2 linked regions of the Pelodiscus sinensis genome follow. The main gene of each other region encodes a partner of the protein of the gene in region 2 in a complex. Links are inferred from orthologs where the notes say so. Each region holds a gene or a part of one and is shown on either strand. Other genes may lie near its edges.

Evidence for each region. The genes of interacting proteins can lie anywhere in the genome.
Region 1: the proteins of RPTOR (region 2) and EIF4EBP1 are in contact, whole or in part, in a cryo-EM structure (PDB 6BCX), measured with the Homo sapiens proteins. The link is inferred for Pelodiscus sinensis from reciprocal best matches to the Homo sapiens genes RPTOR and EIF4EBP1. Residues at the interface, in NP_065812.1 of Homo sapiens: Arg54, Arg305, Thr317, Asp321, Phe337, Arg338, Leu341, Ala344, Arg348, Leu437, Gln438, Leu440, Leu441, Ser442, Gln443, Arg446, Tyr475, Lys478, Leu479, Gln481; in NP_004086.1 of Homo sapiens: Glu111, Ser112, Gln113, Phe114, Glu115, Met116, Asp117, Ile118.

Annotation. Positions count from the first base shown.
Region 1 is NC_134738.1:15,246,133-15,255,880, forward strand, and holds the start of EIF4EBP1 (eukaryotic translation initiation factor 4E-binding protein 1), read left to right. Parts: upstream 1-6,026; 5' UTR 6,027-6,142; coding exon 6,143-6,284; intron 6,285-9,748. UniProt on the Homo sapiens protein: Repressor of translation initiation that regulates EIF4E activity by preventing its assembly into the eIF4F complex: hypophosphorylated form competes with EIF4G1/EIF4G3 and strongly binds to EIF4E, leading to repress translation.
Region 2 is NC_134730.1:28,323,879-28,334,084, forward strand, and holds the start of RPTOR (regulatory-associated protein of mTOR), read right to left. Parts: upstream 4,616-10,206; 5' UTR 4,186-4,615; coding exon 4,021-4,185; intron 1-4,020. UniProt on the Homo sapiens protein: Component of the mechanistic target of rapamycin complex 1 (mTORC1), an evolutionarily conserved central nutrient sensor that stimulates anabolic reactions and macromolecule biosynthesis to promote cellular biomass generation and growth.

The DNA of each region.
Region 1 (9,748 bases), on a different chromosome or scaffold from region 2:
TTGACCGTGAGCTCTTGCACACAAGGACCCGGCCTTCCTGAAAGCACCTGGCCCCCTGTGGGTGCCATATAAATAATCATACAGATGCCCTCGCAATCTCCCATTTCTTTGCGAAAAAGAGTTTACCAGCATCCCGCTGTCCAATAGGGCATCTAATACCTCCCGGTCACCTGCCCGCCTGCCCCATGCTTATGGGGGCATGTGACAGCCACAGGCACAGCAAGCCACCGAAAAGAGGAGGGATCTTGCCCTTCGGTCACTTGTGAAAGCAAGAAGGGCAGCCGCTCCCAAGGCGATGCTGTAGGCTCTAACGCTGCACCATCGTGGGTGTGCGCTCTCCTGCTGGGGTGGGAGCGGCTCGGCAGGGTCCGGTTATTTCTTTCATACCTTGTTTTTCCTTTCTAAAAAGTATTTAACAGAAAAACAACACATGCCTTTGCTAAACACTGCTGCCCAGCTAGTGTTGGATCCGCCCACATTCCTGCATGTTGTGCATCACAGCCAGAACACACAGAGACACTTCTCACATCACTTCTGGGCATGCAAGAATGGGACTCAGCCCCTGAAAGAGAGTCAGACCCTAGCCCGGCTCCCTTTGAGGCATAATGTTAGGCATGCTGCCCCCACAGCTCCCTTGTGGCTGGGAATAGGCAGGATTAAAACAAACAAAAGGGAATGTTTCTTCACTCAGTAGCACAGTCAACCTGTGGAACTCCTTGCCAGAGGATGTTGTAAAGACCAGGACTTTAACAGGGTTCAAAAAAGAACTAGATATATTCATGGAGGTTAGGTCCATCAATGGCTGTTAGCCAGGACCGGCAGGGATAGTGACCTTAGTCTCTGTTTGTCAGAGGCTGGGAATGGGTGACAGGGGAGGGATCACTGGATGATTCCCTGTTATGTTCACTCCCTCTGGGATGGAAAACAGGACACTGGGCTAGATGGACCTTTGGACTGGCCTGCACTTGAAAGTTTCCCTGGTAGAGTTAGTTGACTTGGATAGAGTTAGTCGACTTTTTAACAAATTAGTTATACCGCAAAATAACCAAGAACGGACACAGAAATAGCAATAAACAGGTGACTTGTACTAGTCTAATTATTCCATTTCTTGCACATAACTACTTTCATAAGTATAAATATGCCAACACAACTGCCTGCACGGGAGTGGGTTGTACTGCATTAGCTGTACTGAGTTAAATGAAGCAACACAATTTCATAGTGTAGGTAGGTAGAAGGGAAGGAAGGAAGGAAGGAGAGAGGGAGAAGGAAGGAAGGAACTTTTCAGTGTGCGTATTGTAGTCTGTTAGTAAAAGCCTTTTACAGCTCTGGGCCAGTGTCTGCTGTCATGTTTGTCCCTTTAAACGGTCTCTGTCAGGCCAAAAATGCAAAGTCGTTTCCAAGGGTGACAGACAGTAGCTGACACCTTTCCCCTTCCGTAGGTTAGCCTATCATTTGGGCATCCTCATCTCCATACGTCCTAGCGGCAGTTGGACCCCACAGCTGCCATGCAGAACGCCAGCCGGGAGAGTTGTAAGTGGTGGCCAGGCCAGCTGTGTGGCATCGATTTAACGAATCACCTCGTTTGCATGAATACAAACATGTGGCCAACCTTTCATCAGCTTGCTAAAGTGCCAGCAGGCGGGCAGGGGGCCTGCAGATGGACCGGCCCCTTGGGGAGAAGGGCTGAGCTGGAATCGGAGTGGCAGGGTGGTCCTGCAGATCGTGGCTGCCAAATGACTCACCACAAGAGGGGTGACTTTGCTCCAACGCACAAACACTGTTCATCTTAGTCACCTGGGGGCGCCAAGAAAGCTTTAATCCTAGACATACCCGGACACCAAGCAAAACTGCAGACTTACACACGGCTGCTCATCACATCTTCTGGGACTTGTGTGTGCACAGCCATTCACGGTAAGGGACCAAACTCAATAACAACACAGTTACACCCAAAACACACCTGTATGCGCACCCACACACACATACCCATGTGTCCGTGCATGCTCACACACCTATATACACTGACATGCCTGCATGCTAACATCCAGGCATATACACCTATCTCAAACACACACAAAACAAAAAACAACAAGGAGTCCTGTGGCACCTTAGGCTACATCTATGTACTTAAAAACTGGAGCATGTCCCCTCTCCATCTTCTCTTTTCCAGAGTAAACAAACCCAATTTTTTCAGTCTTCCCTCACAGATCAAGTTTTCTAAATAACCTTTTAATCCTTTTTGGTCGCTCATCTCTGGACTTTCTCCAATTTGTCCACATCTTTGCAGAAAGGTGGTACCCAGAACTGGACACCAGTCCTACTGAGGCCTAATCATCGCAGGATAAAGCAGAGGAATGACTTCTCATGTCTTGCTCGCAACACTCCTGCCAACGCATCCCAAAATGGTGTGAGCTTTTTTGCAACAGTGTTGCACCATTCACTCGTATTTAGCTTGTGATCTGCTGTGACACTGCCCTCTCCTCCCCCCCCCCCCCCCCCCATCTTTCTGCAGGACCCTAGACAGTCATTTCCCATTTTGTATGTGTGCAACTGATTGTCCCTTCCTAAGTGGAGCACTTTGCATTAGTCCTCGTTGAATTTCATCCTATTGACCTCAGATCACTTCTCCAGTTTGTCCAGATCATTTTGAGTTTTGACCCTATCCTCCAGAGCACTTACAACCCCACGTCTGCATCACAGTGTCATTAAGCCATGCTCAGCATTTATCTTGAAACTAGGAACCACTAGGTCAGTAACAGATCTGTGGGGCATCAATTCTTGGAATCGAATGTGGGTCTGACCCAGATCCAATCTGAAGTGAGTGTTCAGAGTTGTGGGATCCCTGCTTTTGATTCAGAGATTCCAAAGGGATTGTTGTAAGCAGCTAGCCAGCCAAAGAACGTCTCTGAACTAATTCCTAGAGTAGATCATAGAAAAATATTGGACCGCGATATAAATATTGTAGTGATGGAGAATTTGCCAAGACCCTGGTTAAAATTGTTCCAATGGTTAACTGCTTTCACCATTACACCTGATTTCCAGTCTGAATTAGTCTTGCTTCAGCCTCCAGCCCTTGGATCATGTAATATCTTTCACTGCTAGACTGAAGAGCCCCTTGTTAAATATTTGTTCTCTGTATAGGTATTTCTAGATTGTAATAAAGTTACCCTTTAACCTTCCCATTCTTAAAACTAAATATGTCTATCACTACACAATATCAAGAGTAGCTCTGTTACTTTCTACCAAAACAACAAGGAATCTGGTGACACTTGCAGAAAAACGAATTTTATTATGGCATACGCTTTCATGAAAGCATATACCATAATAACCCTGTTAGTTTTTAAGGTGCCACTGGATTGATTTTCACTACAAGGCATGCTTTCTCGTCCTTTCATGGTTCCCCTGGCTAGTCTCTGAACCCTCTCCAATGCAGCCACATCTGTGCTGAACTATGGGAACCAGAACTGGACACAGTATTGCAGCCGCCGTCCCACCCGCGCCAAATACAGAGGTAAAATACCCTCCTACAGTGTGGTGGTGAGTACTGTATGAAATGCAGAGGCAGAGAGAGAGAAAGACTGGCGCTCTCTCTGGTACTGCCTTTTGTGTGAGTCGCGGCATTTGTTTGACTCCATACGATGCTGATATTGAATCAGGAATTCCGGAAAGGGCCATTTGTGGTGCTTTGTGTCAGCCTCTCTCTCCCGTCACCTCGACAGGTGAGCTTTCAGCGGGAATGCAGGTTCACGCGTTTGTGACACTCATCACCCGCCAAGCGCCCAGGGGAGTAGGCTGTGAATTCTATCACTGCACAAATGTCTTGAGCGGTGCTGAAGGCCTCCCAGGAGGACCACCCTTGCTGTGGCTGCCTTCTCGGGAGGGACGCAGGGTGTGAAGTGCCCCGCTGCAGGAGGAAGCTGGGTAGCAGGAGTGGGGGCACGGTTAGAGGGGAAATGGTCCCAACGCGCTCATCACATGGGAGCACACTGTGGGACAGGCGGAGAACCTCTGTCGCAGAAATCCTTTCTCAGCCCCCTACCACCAAACCAGCCCACGGCCATGGCAATGCCTGGGAGGCTGCTCCCAAACCTGCCGTGAGGGCGAGGGGCTGGACTCGATGACCTCTCGAGGTCCCTTCCCGTCCTATGATTCTATGATTCATATTGCCCAAAGGTATTTCCTTCCTTGCCCTGCTTTGTCTGCCGGGACTACAAAGCCCCTGGGCCGGACTGGGCGTGCAGAGTAGCAGCAGGCTGCCACGCGTCCTACTGGCACGGGGCGAGGGCTAGTGGGGGCAGGGGGACGAGTGATTAGGGAAGGGTGATCTGCGGGGGGGAGAATGGGCAGGGGAGGGGAGGGGAGACATGGCGCTTGGGGGGAGGCTGGGGCAGCAAGAGGAGCCGGGGCAGGGGAGAGGAGCAGGCTGACGGGCAGGGGGATGGGGAGGGGACGGACTGGCAGCAAGGGGAGGAAGGGGGATGGGAAGGGGAGGGGCTGGGAGGAGAGGGCGGGGCTGGAGGAGGAGGGAGGGACAGCTGGAGGAGAGGGCGGGGCTGGAGGAGGAGGGGGGGCAGTTGGAGGAGAGGGCGGGGCTGAGGAGCAGCCAGTGGGATGGGAAGGGGAGGGGCTGGGAGGAGAGGGCGGGGCTGGAGGAGGAGGGAGGGGCAGTTGGAGGAGAGGGCGGGGCTGGAGGAGGAGGGGGGGCAGTTGGAGGAGAGGGCGGGGCTGAGGAGCAGCCAGTGGGATGGGAAGGGGCGGGGCTGGAGGAGGAGGGAGGGGCAGTTGGAGGAGAGGGCGGGGCTGAGGAGCAGCCAGTGGGATGGGAAGGGGCGGGGCTGGAGGAGGAGGGAGGGGCAGTTGGAGGAGAGGGCGGGGCTGAGGAGTAGCCAGTGGGATGGGAAGGGGCGGGGCTGGAGGAGGAGGGAGGGGCAGTTGGAGGAGGGGCGGGGCTGAGGAGCAGCCAGTGGGATGGGAAGGGGCGGGGCTGGAGGAGGAGGGAGGGGCAGTTGGAGGAGGGGCGGGGCTGAGGAGCAGCCAGTGGGATGGGAAGGGGCGGGGCTGGAGGAGGAGGGAGGGGCAGTTGGAGGAGGGGCGGGGCTGAGGAGCAGCCAGTGGGATGGGAAGGGGCGGGGCTGGAGGAGGAGGGAGGGGCAGTTGGAGGAGAGGGCGGGGCTGAGGAGCAGCCAGTGGGATGGGAAGGGGCGGGGCTGGAGGAGGAGGGAGGGGCAGTTGGAGGAGGGGCGGGGCTGAGGAGTAGCCAGTGGGATGGGAAGGGGCGGGGCTGGAGGAGGAGGGAGGGGCAGTTGGAGGAGGGGCGGGGCTGAGGAGTAGCCAGTGGGATGGGAAGGGGCGGGGCTGGAGGAGGAGGGAGGGGCAGTTGGAGGAGAGGGCGGGGCTGAGGAGCAGCCAGTGGGATGGGAAGGGGCGGGGCTGGAGGAGGAGGGAGGGGCAGTTGGAGGAGGGGCGGGGCTGAGGAGCAGCCAGTGGGATGGGAAGGGGCGGGGCTGGAGGAGGAGGGAGGGGCAGTTGGAGGAGGGGCGGGGCTGAGGAGTAGCCAGTGGCAGGGGAAGGGGCGGGGCTGGAGGAGGAGGGAGGGGCAGTTGGAGGAGAGGGCGGGGCTGAGGAGTAGCCAGTGGCAGGGGAAGGGGCGGGGCTGGAGGAGGAGGGAGGGGCAGTTGGAGGAGGGGCGGGGCTGAGGAGTAGCCAGTGGCAGGGGAAGGGGCGGGGCTGGAGGAGGAGGGAGGGGCAGTTGGAGGAGGGGCGGGGCTGAGGAGTAGCCAGTGGGATGGGAAGGGGCGGGGCTGGAGGAGGAGGGAGGGGCAGTTGGAGGAGGGGCGGGGCTGAGGAGCAGCCAGTGGGATGGGAAGGGGCGGGGCTGGAGGAGGAGGGAGGGGCAGTTGGAGGAGGGGCGGGGCTGAGGAGTAGCCAGTGGGATAGGAAGGGGCGGGGCTGGAGGAGGAGGGAGGGGCAGTTGGAGGAGGGGCGGGGCTGAGGAGTAGCCAGTGGCAGGGGAAGGGGAGGGGCCTCAGGCGCCGCCGTTGCCGTGGTGCCGTGCGCGGGGCGGAAGGGGCGTGGCCGCCGGCTGCTTCCGGGCGGGCGCGGGCCGGGGCAGGGGGCGCGCGGCGCTCGGGCAGCCCCAGTCGCCATGTCCGGGAGCTGCCGCCAGGGCCACACGCCGAGCCGGGCCATCCCCGCCAAGCGCCTCAGCCTGCCCGACGGGGCCGCGCTGCCGCCCGGCCACTACAGCACCACGCCGGGGGGCACCGTGTTCGGCACCACGCCGGGCGGTGAGTGGGGCGGGGCCCCCCGGGCGGGACCTCCCCCCCCCCCCCCCCCGCGGAGCCGTGAGCGGAGCGCGAGGGGCCGGACGGGGCTGGGGGTTGGGAACGCGCCGCTGCTGGAACTTGCCCCGCTGCATGTTTGGGGGGGCGCCCAGGGGGCCCGTTTAGAGCCCCCCCCCCCGCCTGCCCGCCGCTGCCTCGTGTGCACCCACTTCCCCAGCCCGTAGGGCGCTCGGCAGGGAGGCGGTGTCGCGGGGCGGGTGAGGGAGGGAGGGAGGGAGCACTGTGCAGAGCTTGGGGACAAAGGGGGCCCGACGCAGGGATAGGGGGCAATAGTTTGGGGGTCCCGAGACTGGGGCGCTCGTAGGTGCCAGAGGGAAACAGGCGGGGCTGTGCCCACGGGGGTTAGCACCAAACACTGGTTCACCCAGGACACCTGTTTCCCTAAGTCCAGCCCTGAATTGAATATATTCAAAGTTCTGTCAAATGTACAATGTAAATAAGTGGGTAGGAGGTTTTTTTTCACTAATATTACATGTCAAGTGACCTTAGGAGGTGCATGTAACAATAGTAGTTTTTTTAAAAAAAGAAAAAAAAAGACAGAAGTATGAAGATTAAATGGGTGTGTTTAAAAACAACAACAACAGTTGGGCTAGCCTGAGAGAGTCTTGGCACAGAAACTGAAGGTCTTAGTTTCAGTTGTGCTAGGTATCCATTTTGTGCTCTGAGAGCGCAAGCAGTAGGAATTCTTAAACATTAGGCACCTCTTGCAACAATTGTCACAAGTTTAGGAGAATTGGGATCAACTGATTATTTTCCAATACATGTTCTGCAGTATATTTGTTAGGGATGCTAAGTATCGGTTAATCGAATAGTCGAGTCACCTCATGAATTCTTATCCGTTAGTTGACTATTCTCTAGTCCCCGGGGGTGGGGCCGGCAGCCACTGTATTAGAGGCAGAAGCGTGGGGTACCAGGAGGGAGCTGGTCTATGAGGGGAGCCAGTTTAAAAACCAGCTCCCCTCACAGACTGGCTGCCTGTTACCCTGTGCAGCTGCCTCTGATAAAGAGGACGTTTCTCAAAATATCTAATCACTAGTAATAGCCTTTATTTTCAAGAATCCTGTTTAGTTTCTCAGTGATTTGGATAATCCAGAGAATGAATATTTTAATGTGTGCTTGTTTTTAAGATTTGAAAAACTAGGGTGAGTTTAAAAGCTCCATATCGCACTTCAGTTCTGCTTTTATCTGTTAACTTACATTTTATTGCTGTTAGTACTTACCATATGTTTATGTTCCCATGGCTATTCTTAGAATGATTAACAATGGAGTTTTAATCTCTCTTTCCCAAGACTACTGTCAATAGACTCTAAAATAAAATTCCTTCAAATCTCCCTTTAAAAAATTTGAATTAAGCAAATACTAACAGTTCTTAACACGGATCAGCCACACAGATCTTTCCTGTGCTGATCCATAAACCAAATAATTATTATGAAAAGGCAATTGCACTTCACTGTTCAGTAAGCTTTCAGGAGCAGAGACAGTTCTCAGGTGCATTCCTATGTTAAACAAATGCTTGTTCGTTTGAAAGGTTTAGGTGTAAAAACCTTTAGCAAAATGTTACTGTTTATTAACACGTGTACAGTGAAGCATTGTAAACAATACATCAGGTTGCACTTCAGAATAAAGGAGCAAATGTAATAGGGCATGGAACACCCATTTCTAATTTTAAAGAGCCAAATATTATACTCTTTAATCTCCCAAACAGTTCCATTGATTTCAGTGGAACTGTGTGGGGAATACAGGATTTAGTGCCAAAATCAGAAATCTGCAGTAACCGGTTCAGCCATTGGTGCAAATTATCACGGTTCCATTGGTGTATTAGAGGCCTGATCTACAGACCTAAACTTTAGGTTGACCTAGCTGAGGGACATAGTTAAGCCAACCTAAGCACTGGTAGAGACACTGTTAGATTGAAGGCAGAATCTTTAATTGGGGTACTGTCTTCACGATAGTAACATAGCTGCAGCTGTGTCTGTAGCACAGACATATCCCAAGTCTAGTGCTGAGGAAGTTTGGAAGCACAAATGGCTTTCAGAAAGCATTGTCCTGTAATTTAAAAGTGGTTTGCCTAATTTCGGTAAGTTCAAAGCCAGCTCAATATATGTTTTCTTCCTTTACCTTGAGTGAAAATGAGTTATGGGGTGATACTGGAATGTGATTTCTCAGAGAACATGAGAGAGCTAGACCTGAAATAGTCATTTTAGTCTCTTGTCAGTACTATTGCAGTGAGCTTATAAGGTTTTGAATGATTTATTAAAGACCACTGATTAGGATGCTCTTCACAGCTCCAAGCTTCTGCAGGCTCTGTAATAGGCTTTCTGCAATAGGCTAATCTTCACACTGCAGAAAGAAAGGGAAACAGTTTGGTTTTTCAATCACTGCACACATGCGAGGCAGCTCTTCTTTGCTGCTTGCTCCCCAGTTCTGACTGTAGGATGGCTCCACTAAGACAGAGGAGCTCTACCTGGATTCACTCGTCCTTAGGTGACCCTGAGAGGCACCACTGGCATCCCTCACCTCCACTGTAGACTGCTGTTGTCCGTGAGGAGCTCAGAGCGGATGGTTTTGAGCATCCCAGTTTGGTTGCTGGCAGAGGGATTTGCCAGTATGAAGAATGTTCCTGCAGTGTACGGTGCCTGTCCCCTTCCACCCATTGCTAATGGACTTTGGGTTGGCAAGACCTCGCTGTGCCGGGGTGCTTCCAGCTCAGTGTACTTACACTATGCGAACGGTTGTGGCCCGGAGGGGCTTGGTTACCTCTTCCATCTTGGCCGGGAGAAGTTGAGAGAATAAAGTACGCTTGGCCGTGCGGTGAGACTGCTGAATGGCCCCTAATATGGACCAAAGGCAGCAACTGAAATGAGGAATGAGACTCTGATGAGTTTGGCAGCTGGGGTTCCCCTGCAGGCTGTCCCTGTAAGGGCCTGAGCCTGCGTTCCTTGTGTGTCTGGGCTGCACAGGGACCAGACAGTGAACCGGTTAGAGCCACTGGGCTTTGGAAGACAGAAACTGCTGAGCCAGTATCTTGTTAGCACTTGCTAGGATTTTGTAACTTGCGCATCGCTTCCAAGCATTGTCAGGGTGCCCTTAAGAAGGGAGCAGTGGGTGAGGATGCGATTTTTTTTGTTCCTCTTGTCTTCCAAGACCTTTGATCAAAGTATCACAGCTTCCTACTTCCAATGAACTTAGTTTGATGGGAACCCTAACAAGGACCAGATGCCTGTCCTCCAATTACACAGTGCAGGGACATGCTCAGATACAGCGCTGGGGGCAATACAAACCCTCACAGAGAGCAAGATTGACCAGAAGCTTATAGAAGAGAACTTCTGCCAGTCAGAACCCCTCCCCCATGCATGGCTGGAGCTCTGTTGGACAGGAGGGGAAAGCCACGAATCAGCTGTCCTGGG
Region 2 (10,206 bases):
TTCAAAGACAGCTCTCTTGTTCTCTCTCTGGTTCACAAGGCTGAGGATTTCAACAACACCGACATATCCTTGGAGCAGCTTTTAACAGGTGTTTTTTTTTTAAACTTGGATAGTTGCACTGGGACATTTTACTTCCCAATTAGGTTTTTCATATAAAAGTGAAAGATAAACAGAAGCATGCAAGCACAGAAGCCTGTATTCTTATAACATCTTCCACCCCAAAGCACTTTATGCATTTTACCAACAGTACAAGTTATACTAGAGAGAGACAAAGAGAAAATTACTGAAGCACAGTCACTTCCAAGATGAAACACAGGAAGTTCTTAATAGGGCACAGTAACACCACACAGCAGTTAAGGATAGAAAATAAAGAACACTATATCCAACTGAAACTACAGGTAGCACAAACGTGAGGATCCGCTGCACAATGACCTGTAGAACCCACCAAAGACAAGATTAGATTACAATTCCACAACCATCTACAGAACCATACGGAGACCAACATTCCTCTAGTTTTATATCCGTGTGCAGAATGATTTTCATTATGTGCACTAATATGGAGATGATGCATCTCATAACAAAAGTAATTCTGCACATGGACAGTGTGTGGCAGAGGTGGGGCCAAAGGATTGGGGTGTGGGAGAGTGTTCTAGGTTGGGGAACAGGGTTAGAGTGCAGCAGGCTGACAGCTCTGGGTAAAGGTACAGGCTCTTAGGTGGGGACAGGAATAAGGAGTCTGGAGTGCAGGAGGGTTGGGATGTGGGGTGAGCGTTCACTAGGGACACAGGCTCCTTAGGGGAGAAGGCTGCCCCAGGAAGAGAGAACTCCCAGTCATCTCTCATTGCAGCTACTCAGGGCCAGTGGAGAGGCATCTCTCCCCCCAGCCATGGCAGTTCTATGCAGGAGCCAGCAAGTAGAGGTGCCTCTTCCCCCCTCTCCCGCCGCCCCGGCCAAAGCAGCTCTGGGGCTTAGGAAGAGGTGCCTTTCCACACTACAGGCAGAGCATGGGATATAATAGAAAGCTGTGCAGCTTAGAGGGAATTTAGATTGAGGCAGCAAGGGGAGGAGGGAGAGGTGGGAGCCAGTGCTCATGGAGAACTGGCTTTTAAGATCCACACGTGCCAGCTCTGTGGAGCCACCTGCCCTTCCCCCCCCCCCTTGCTGCCTCCCACAGAAGCAGCATGGGGGGGGGGGGGAAGGAGGCAGGGCGGGGGTGAGGGAGCCAGTGCAGGGGTGGGGAGCCAGCATAAAGGCAACAGCACAGGGGGAAGGCAGACAGGATGCCGGAACAGCCCCTGTCCGCAGGGGGTTCCTGGAAGTGGGACCAGGAGTGAATTGGCTACCAGCCCTGACCCCAAGGACCATTGAATGATAGTGTAACAGCTAAGATTTTGTGTGGTTACGCGATTATTAAATTAAACAATATCTAACATCCCTAACAGAGAAAGGACATTTCTATGTCTCTTATGTAAATTGAAACCTTCAATATCTCATGATCCAGCTGAAGTTGCACCAGAGATCCAGGAAATAAAATGGGGCTACAGTCCTACACACACAATGCCCCTGGACCCAGAACTATGTAGGGACAATGGAACCCAGAGAGCGCCTCCTCTCCCACCATCCGCCCTTCGGGTAAAAAAACTATAGGGAGGAGCCAGTCAGAAATGAAATCAGGCAAAGCATACACAGAAGCTGTTTAAGCAGGATCAGAGGATATTTTCTACAGCTCTGATTGGACTTGTTCTCATCTGTGCTGGTTGAATGTTTGCTCCAAGCTTCTACCCAGTTTCTTTACCTCAGCTTCACTCCATGCTTACCCCTTCCTCTCCTCCTTATCCCATGCACCCTCCCCATGTACCCAGTACTCTAAAACCCTTCCCCTCCAAAAATACTGTGGAACTAGTACGACTGCTGTCATCATTTTGTCCATTCTATTTGTACATTAGATCCTTTTCCACTACCCTTTGTCTATCTTGCCTATTTAGACTATAAATTCTTCAGAGCAGACACTGTACTACACTGTACAGATGGGGGCCTAATGTTGGTGTTCCTAAAACCCTACTGTAATTAACATTGTCAATAATAAGTCATCTCAACATTCCCAGAGATTTGAAGTGTCTGTGGAAATTTGGGGAAGATGTGCGGAGGAGGTGGTTATTAAATAAGAATTCTATCACAATTATGGAACATTCTAACATCATAATTATTTGTGGTAACAACAAGAAAACCAAAAATAAAAGCAGCAGCGCAGAAGTAAGGGTGTTTTGTGCTGCTGCCTTCAGAGCTGGGCCGCTAGAAAGTGGCAGCTGCTGACTGTAGACAGCAGCTCAGAAATAAGGGTGGCAATACCACAGCAAACCATCCCTATTTCTGCAGTACTGCTGGTAGCAGCTCTGCCTTCAGAACTGGATTCCAGTCAAGCAGCTGCCACTCTTCAGCTTCACAGCTCTGAAGGCAGCACTGCGACCAGCAATCATGCAGAAGTAAGGGTAGTAGTACTGTAACCTCCCCCTTTACAATAATCCCGTGACACCCAGACCCACAATTTCTTTTTGGCTCTGTAATTGTAATGGTGTACAATTACACCACCATGAAATTTCAGATTTAATTAGCTGAAATCATGAAATTTACTATTTTCAAAATCCTAGGATGGTGAAATTGGCAAAAATGGACCATAAATCTGGTAGGACACTACCTATTGCGTGCCATCTAGTCCACCACTAGAGGCCCAATATAGAATTGCTTCTTAAAACACCTTTTTCGAGATTACAGTAATAATGAATTGAGAAAGTTAGTTGTTTATCAGGTAACTGTGGTTTGGAAACATACTAGGTGTCCATACACAGACACACAAAGGCAGTATATACCCAAGAGCTAAGAAAATCTTTAAGTTATAGCCAGTTCTGAGAGAAGATCAAGTGCACACTCTTTTCCATTCCACTTTTATATCTAACCAGAAAAGTTTAACTGTAGAAATCAAGCCACAGAGGACTACATGGGCCTGAGAGAAAAGTTTGCTTTTTAGTAGCAAAGCTTAGGACTAGGAATGTGAAGGTTTAACCAGTCTCATCCTTAACAGGTGTGGCTTACAGGTTAAAGTTAACCAGTGGGGGAGTGGAGCAGCTCCCCACCTGCTATGGGCTGCCCCAGCCCCACAGGGGGCCTGCTATGCATGGGAGGGTGGTGCTCCAGCCAGGCTCCTGCCTTTGCTCAGCTCCCCTTTAATTAGTTAATATGCTTAACCAGTTAGCCAATTAAATAGGATTTTACATCCCTACATAATACAGCATCCATTTAATGTTCTGTAGATATTCGGTCAAGAAACAATATCCTGCCTTGTAGGTTAACATGTTTAAGGATCAAATAGGCATCTTCCATCTCAAAAACATCATGAGCCTGACATTGCTCTGGTAAGCATGCATCACTCATATACTCCATGCAACATGCCAATGGAGGACTAAAAAAACCTCAAAGGAGAACTTCACAGAATATAATACTTGCATTCATTGCACCCACTGCCCATGCCACTAACATGAACCAGTGAGGTCTGTTTTAAGACACCACTAATGCCACTACTTTCTCAGAAGAGCACCAATTTCGCAGAAACTCAGTGTAGCTATTTAAAATGCATATAATTAGGAACTCGAACAGTCTTCCTTTTAAGTTGTGTGTTTGTGCCGCCACTCAAGAGAGGCTCAACTGCCACCCGGCTGATCAGCAGAGCACCCACAACTAGGTTTTGGGTTTCTACTAGTGGTGCACATTCACACCTGCCTCTGTGTGCACCCCAATGTATTCCGCACATGGATGGAAAAGATGAGAGGGAACATTGGTAACCGTCACTATTAACTTCTTCGTGTGTTCACTTCCACGGTAGCGATGCAACAAGTGCCTGGGCCCCAGGCAAACCTGACTACTAGAAACAAACTCTAGCGGTGCCTCCGACCACATGGGGCAGATCAAAACCAGAGCCGCCACCTACCCCTCCCCCCGCAGAAGTCCCCCGCCCCGGGGCATTACCCGGTCCTTCATCCTCCAGCTCTGGGCCAGAGACTTGGAGCCCTCGATCTTCTCGCAGTGCCGCTTCTTCATGAAGGCCAGAGGCAAGTTCCAGTCCGTCAGGTCCGACTCCTCCTCCTCCCCTCCGACCCCCAGGAGAGGCGACTGCAGCATCTCAGCCTCCATCGGGAGAGGGGGGGAGGGGTCCGGCCGCAAGGGCTCCGCGCTCTCCACCCCCGCACAGGCCGGGGCGGGCGGGTCCCTCTGCCGGGCGGGGCTCAGGGGCAGGAGGGGGAGGGGTCCCAGGCGCGGGGGGGCCCGACCCGGCTCCGTGCAGGGGGCGCCCGCAGGCAAGCGGCGTCTCCTCGGCCCGGGCAGCGCGGAGGGGTCGCTGAGCACTCGGGGCGCCCGGGCCTCTAGCCCCGCGGGCAGGGCTCGCTCCCCGGCTGCTGCGGCGGGAGCCGGGCTCGGCCCATCGCGCCCTCCCCCGGCTCCTCCCCCACGCGCGCTGGCTCCGGCCCCCGGCGGAGGGGCCCCGTCCCGCAGCGCCGGCGAATGAAACTCCCCTCAGGCGCACACCAAGGAGGCGGCCATATTGCCGCGGCCCACAATGCACCGCGGGGACGGGCCGCCGCGGGAGACAAGCCGCGCCGGCCGCGTTCGGAACCGCGCTTCGGCTGGGGGAGCGGAGCCTCCTCCTCGCAGCCTGCTGGCCCAGTGCCTGGGGGTGGGCGTGTCGTGGGTGACCCCCTCCAAAGGGTGCCCCAGACTATCCCCTCAGAACCCCCAAACACCTCCCCTCCAGAACACCCCAAACCCTGCAAACGCCCCACAGCACCCCGCAAAACACCCCAGACCCCCCACATTCCGCACAGCACCCCTCAATAACCCAACCTTCCGCAAAACACCCCAGACCCCCACATTCCGCACAGCACCCCTCAATAACCCAACCTTCCGCAAAACACCCCAGACCCCCACATTCCGCACAGCACCCCCTCAATAACCCAACCTCCCGCAAAACACCCCAGGCCCCCACATTCCGCACAGCACCCCTCAATAACCCAACCTTCCGCAAAACACCCCAGAACCCCACATTCCGCACAGCACCCCTCAATAACCCAACCTTCCGCAAAACACCCCAGAACCCCACATTCCTCACAGCACCCCTCAATAACCCAACCTTCCGCAAAACACCCCAGAACCCCCACATTCCGCACAGCACCCCTCAATAACCCAACCTTCCGCAAAACACCCCAGAACCCCACATTCCGCACGGCACCCCTCAATAACCCAACCTCCCGCAAAACACCCCAGAACCCCCACATTCCGCACGGCACCCCTCAATAACCCAACCTTCCGCAAAACACCCCAGAACCCCACATTCCGCACAGCACCCCTCAATAACCCAACCTTCCGCAAAACACCCCAGAACCCCACATTCCGCACAGCACCCCTCAATAACCCAACCTCCCGCAAAACACCCCAGAACCCCACATTCCGCACAGCACCCCTCAATAACCCAACCTTCCGCAAAACACCCCAGAACCCCACATTCCGCACAGCACCCCTCAATAACCCAACCTTCCGCAAAACACCCCAGAACCCCACATTCCGCACAGCACCCCCTCAATAACCCAACCTCCCGCAAAACACCCCAGACCCCCCACATTCCGCACAGCACCCCTCAATAACCCAACCTTCCGCAAAACACCCCAGAACCCCACATTCCGCACGGCACCCCTCAATAACCCAACCTTCCGCAAAACACCCCAGACCCCACATTCCGCACAGCACCCCCTCAATAACCCAACCTTCCGCAAAACACCCCAGACCCCCCACATTCCGCACAGCACCCCTCAATAACCCAACCTTCCGAAAAACACCACAGACCCCCCACATTCCGCACAGCACCCCCTCAATAACCCAACCTTCCGCAAAACACCCCAGACCCCCCACATTCCGCACAGCACCCCTCAATAACCCAACCTTCCGCAAAACACCCCAAAACCCCCACATTCCGCACAGCACCCCCTCAATAACCCAACCTTCCGCAAAACACCCCAGAACCCCACATTCCGCACAGCACCCCTCAATAACCCAACCTTCCGCAAAACACCCCAGACCCCCACATTCCGCACAGCACCCCTCAATAACCCAACCTTCCGCAAAACACCCCAGACCCCCCACATTCCGCACAGCACCCCTCAATAACCCAACCTTCCGAAAAACACCACAGACCCCCCACATTCCGCACAGCACCCCCTCAATAACCCAACCTTCCGCAAAACACCCCAGACCCCCCACATTCCGCACAGCACCCCTCAATAACCCAACCTTCCGCAAAACACCCCAGACCCCCCACATTCCGCACAGCACCCCCTCAATAACCCAACCTTCCGCAAAACACCCCAGACCCCCCACATTCCGCACAGCACCCCCTCAATAACCCAACCTTCTGCAAAACACCCCAGACCCCCCACATTCCGCACAGCACCCCTCAATAACCCAACCTTCCGCAAAACACCCCAGAACCCCACATTCTGCACAGCACCCCTCAATAACCCAACCTTCCGCAAAACACCCCAGAACCCCCACTTTCTGCACAGCACTCCCACAAACACCCTACAGTTTATAGGGTATTACTCCCTCCTTTTCCTTCAGTCTTAAGCAACACATAGGCCATGTTTTGGATATATAAGTGTGACATAGGGCTAAGGGCCTTAGGCTAGTACAGTACTTAATAAAGGTGTAATTTCTGCAAGCTTTAAATACAACCTAAATATACATTACTTTATTTAATAAGTTAAGGAAACGGCTCTGTCATAGGAAGACTCCTTTGCCAGGCACATGAGGATAACCTCAAAATACTTACTACTGATTTTGTATTTGTTTAGCAGTAGCTCCCAGAGGGCCCTAATACAAGCAGGCGCCTGATTGTGCTAGGCACTGTACAGATACAGAACATATAGGTGATCCCTGTTCCAACAGATTCACAGCATGTAAAGCAGGCATGACCAGTACAGTCGGAAAAGGTGAACAAGGCTCAATGAAGCAAACACAGATAATTATTTTTCAAATACTTTTGTAACTGGCTTCACTCTGTTGGGCTTCTAATTCTTTTTTTAACATTATACCCATCTTTCTTACCAATGCTGACTCTTTTTGTTCACAAGCATTGTTTTCCTTCTTTCTTCTGGCTGGAACTCAACCTCACATAGCAGCTGCTTTGCTGATTTTTAATTGTTTACTTAGACCACAAAATCTTTGTGCAACCAAATCAACTTTGAGGACCATGGTCTTGGACTTAGTCCAGCACAATTCTGAGAAGACCATCAGCGTGACTAGCAATGTCTGGATGAAGAGCATAACCCTTTCGTGTTTGGAGAACAGAAGTTAGTTTCAGGGATCTGTTTCCTATGGCTGTGTCTAGACTGGCCAGTTTTTCCGGAAAATCAGCTGCTTTTCCAGAAAAACTTGCCAGCTGTCTACACTGGCCGCTTGAATTTCCACAAAAGCACTGACTTCCTACTGTAAGAAATCAGTGCTTCTTGCGGAAATACTATTTTGCACAATAAGCTTTTGCGCAAAAGGGCCAGTGTAGACAGGTGAGATTTGTTTTGCGCAAAAAAGCCCCGATCGAGAAAATGGCGATCAGGGCTTTTTTTGCGGAAAAGCGCGTCTAGATTGGCACGGACGCTTTTCTGCAAAAAGTGCTTTTGTGGAAAAGCGTCCTGCCAATCTAGACACTCTGTTCTGAAAATGCTTTTAACAGAAAACTTTTCTGTTAAAAGCATATCCGGAAAATCATGCCAATCTAGACGCAGCCGATGTGTAAGGGCCACATGAATGGGTGTTGTAGCTCCATTAACTTCACTGAGGTTATTCTGATTTACAGCAGTTGGCACAAAGTACCTGAAAGATAATAAATAATACATAATAAACAGGATTGGATCCTATTTTTATCCTATTGTATCAGGACAATATATGGAGAGTCCTGATTTTTTTTTAAAAAAAAACTTCATGGTATCCATACATTTATAGTTGGACTTTTTCACAATAAAACAAACAGCATTTAGTATTGACGAGAACATAAGAACGGCCAGACTGGCTCAGACCGAAGGCCCATCTAGCCCAGTGTCCTGTCTACCGTCAGTGGCCAATGCCAGGTGCCCCAGAGGGAGTGAACAGAACAGGGAATCATCAAGCGATCCTGCCCCTGTTGCCCATCCCAGCCTCTGACAAACAGAGTTAAGGTGAAGGAGGGTGCTCCAGGGCTACTGTGAAGATGGAGAAGACTCCCCCCAGCTCTCACTCCTCGCAGCAGCACCTGCACTAGAAGGGAAAGGCACTTCTCCCCATAGGTTCCAGTTCAGGGATGTGTTTGAGCTGGGGAAGGGCTGCCCTGGTCACAGCAGATCCTGGTGCCGCAGATAGGGCTGGGCCGAGCTACTATGGCACGGTTCAGGGCTGGGCTGCCTAAGCCATGGCAGCCTGGAAACCAGATTAGGTTGGGGCCAAAGAAGAGGCCATCCTCCCCAGGCTACGGCAGGTCCCATGGGGGGTCCTTAAGTACTTGAACAATGTTAAATAGGCAGCTGCACAGGTGAATAGGACTGGTCCCAGTACAGGTCCCAGGGGGACACCACCTATTATATCTGTAAAACCAACAGCTGTCGGTGGGTGGGATTGAACCTGCATCCTTAGAGGCTAAAGCCATGAGCCTCTTCTACCACATGAGCTAAAAAACTAAGTTGCGCTTATCTCAGGCCATAGAGCAGCCTTCACTCAGCCTTCTCGGGGCCTCTGGTTTACATATCAACACCATCATTCCATACCAGGCACTCTAGTTCACCCATCTTATTATTTAGATTTCTAGCCTTTGTCTATAAGCACATTAAAAACGTGTCACTTTTTAGCTGTCTGCTGGTGTAATTGAATGTGACTCTTCTTCATGTCACTGTTTCTGATCAGATCCTGCCTGCATTTTGTCCTTTTCCATCCTCTCCGCCTTACTAGGACAGAGAGAATCTCCATGAATAGATCCACCCCTAAGGGATGTGTCTGATCCAGAATCCACTTTACATAAGTTAAAGGGGAAAATGATTGATTTCTCTGACACAAATGGTACCGTGAAAGTGTATAAATAAGTTTGGTCATGGGGATTCCTGTTTACATTATGCACAGCAGCAGAGTGTTCCCCAAATCTGGGGGCTGAAGGGAATTCTCCCCTCCCCCCCGTACCCACCACATGTCTAGGTTTTCATGCTGAAACTCCCTGACGTTTTAGAAAAGAGGAAATGTATGTATAATTATTTTGGAATAAACGATTCACAAAGGGGAGAAGAGGGGGTGCTATTTTATGCAGACTGGGACATTGGGCAGGAGTTGAATGGGTTTTATGTTCGCAGCACTTTTTTGTTAAAATCCTGCCAGGCATTGGTTTTCTGCCTGAAGTTGTTGAATGGGCTGGGATTTGTTTGTGTATGTCAAGCTTTTGTGATAAATTGAGCAGAAAATGATGTAACTGAACAAAAAGCAACCTCAAAAGAAAGCAAATTTATGATGGTGTCTTGTGCTCCAGGAGAATCAAGTAAAACTTTATGGTCCCCCTTTGTTCTCAGGGAGGAAGTGAGGGAATGAAAGGGAAACCATGGAGTTCTGACAAACCCACCAGTATATCTTCCAGGACCTCTAAGTCACTCCTCTTAATTGTCTAACCATACGATATTTCCAGCTCGAGTGTCATTGGGAGGAGCTGTTTGACACGATGTCCTCTGCGTTCTTCTAATGATATGGCCTTGTGGAACACAGAACAGACTAGCTCATCAATTAACACTGGGGCCTAAAAGCAGACACACTCAAAACCACACAATTTACATTGCTATCACTCAGGAAGCACCACGAAACGGATCGCAAAGCAGGCTTTTCAGACTCACCTACCCCAAAATGTACACATTGGCTGTGTCTACATTGGCACCCTTTTCCGGAAAAGGGATGCTAATGAGACCAGTCGGAATTGCAAATGCCACGGGGGATTTAAATATCCCCCGCGGCATTTGCATGAACATGGTTGCTGCTTTTTTCCGGCTCGGGGTTTTGCCGGAGAAAAGCGCCAGTCTAGACGGGATCTTGCGGAAAATAAACCCTTTTCCGGAAGATCCCTTATTCCCGGAAAAGGGTGCCAATGTAGACACAGCCATTAAGTTT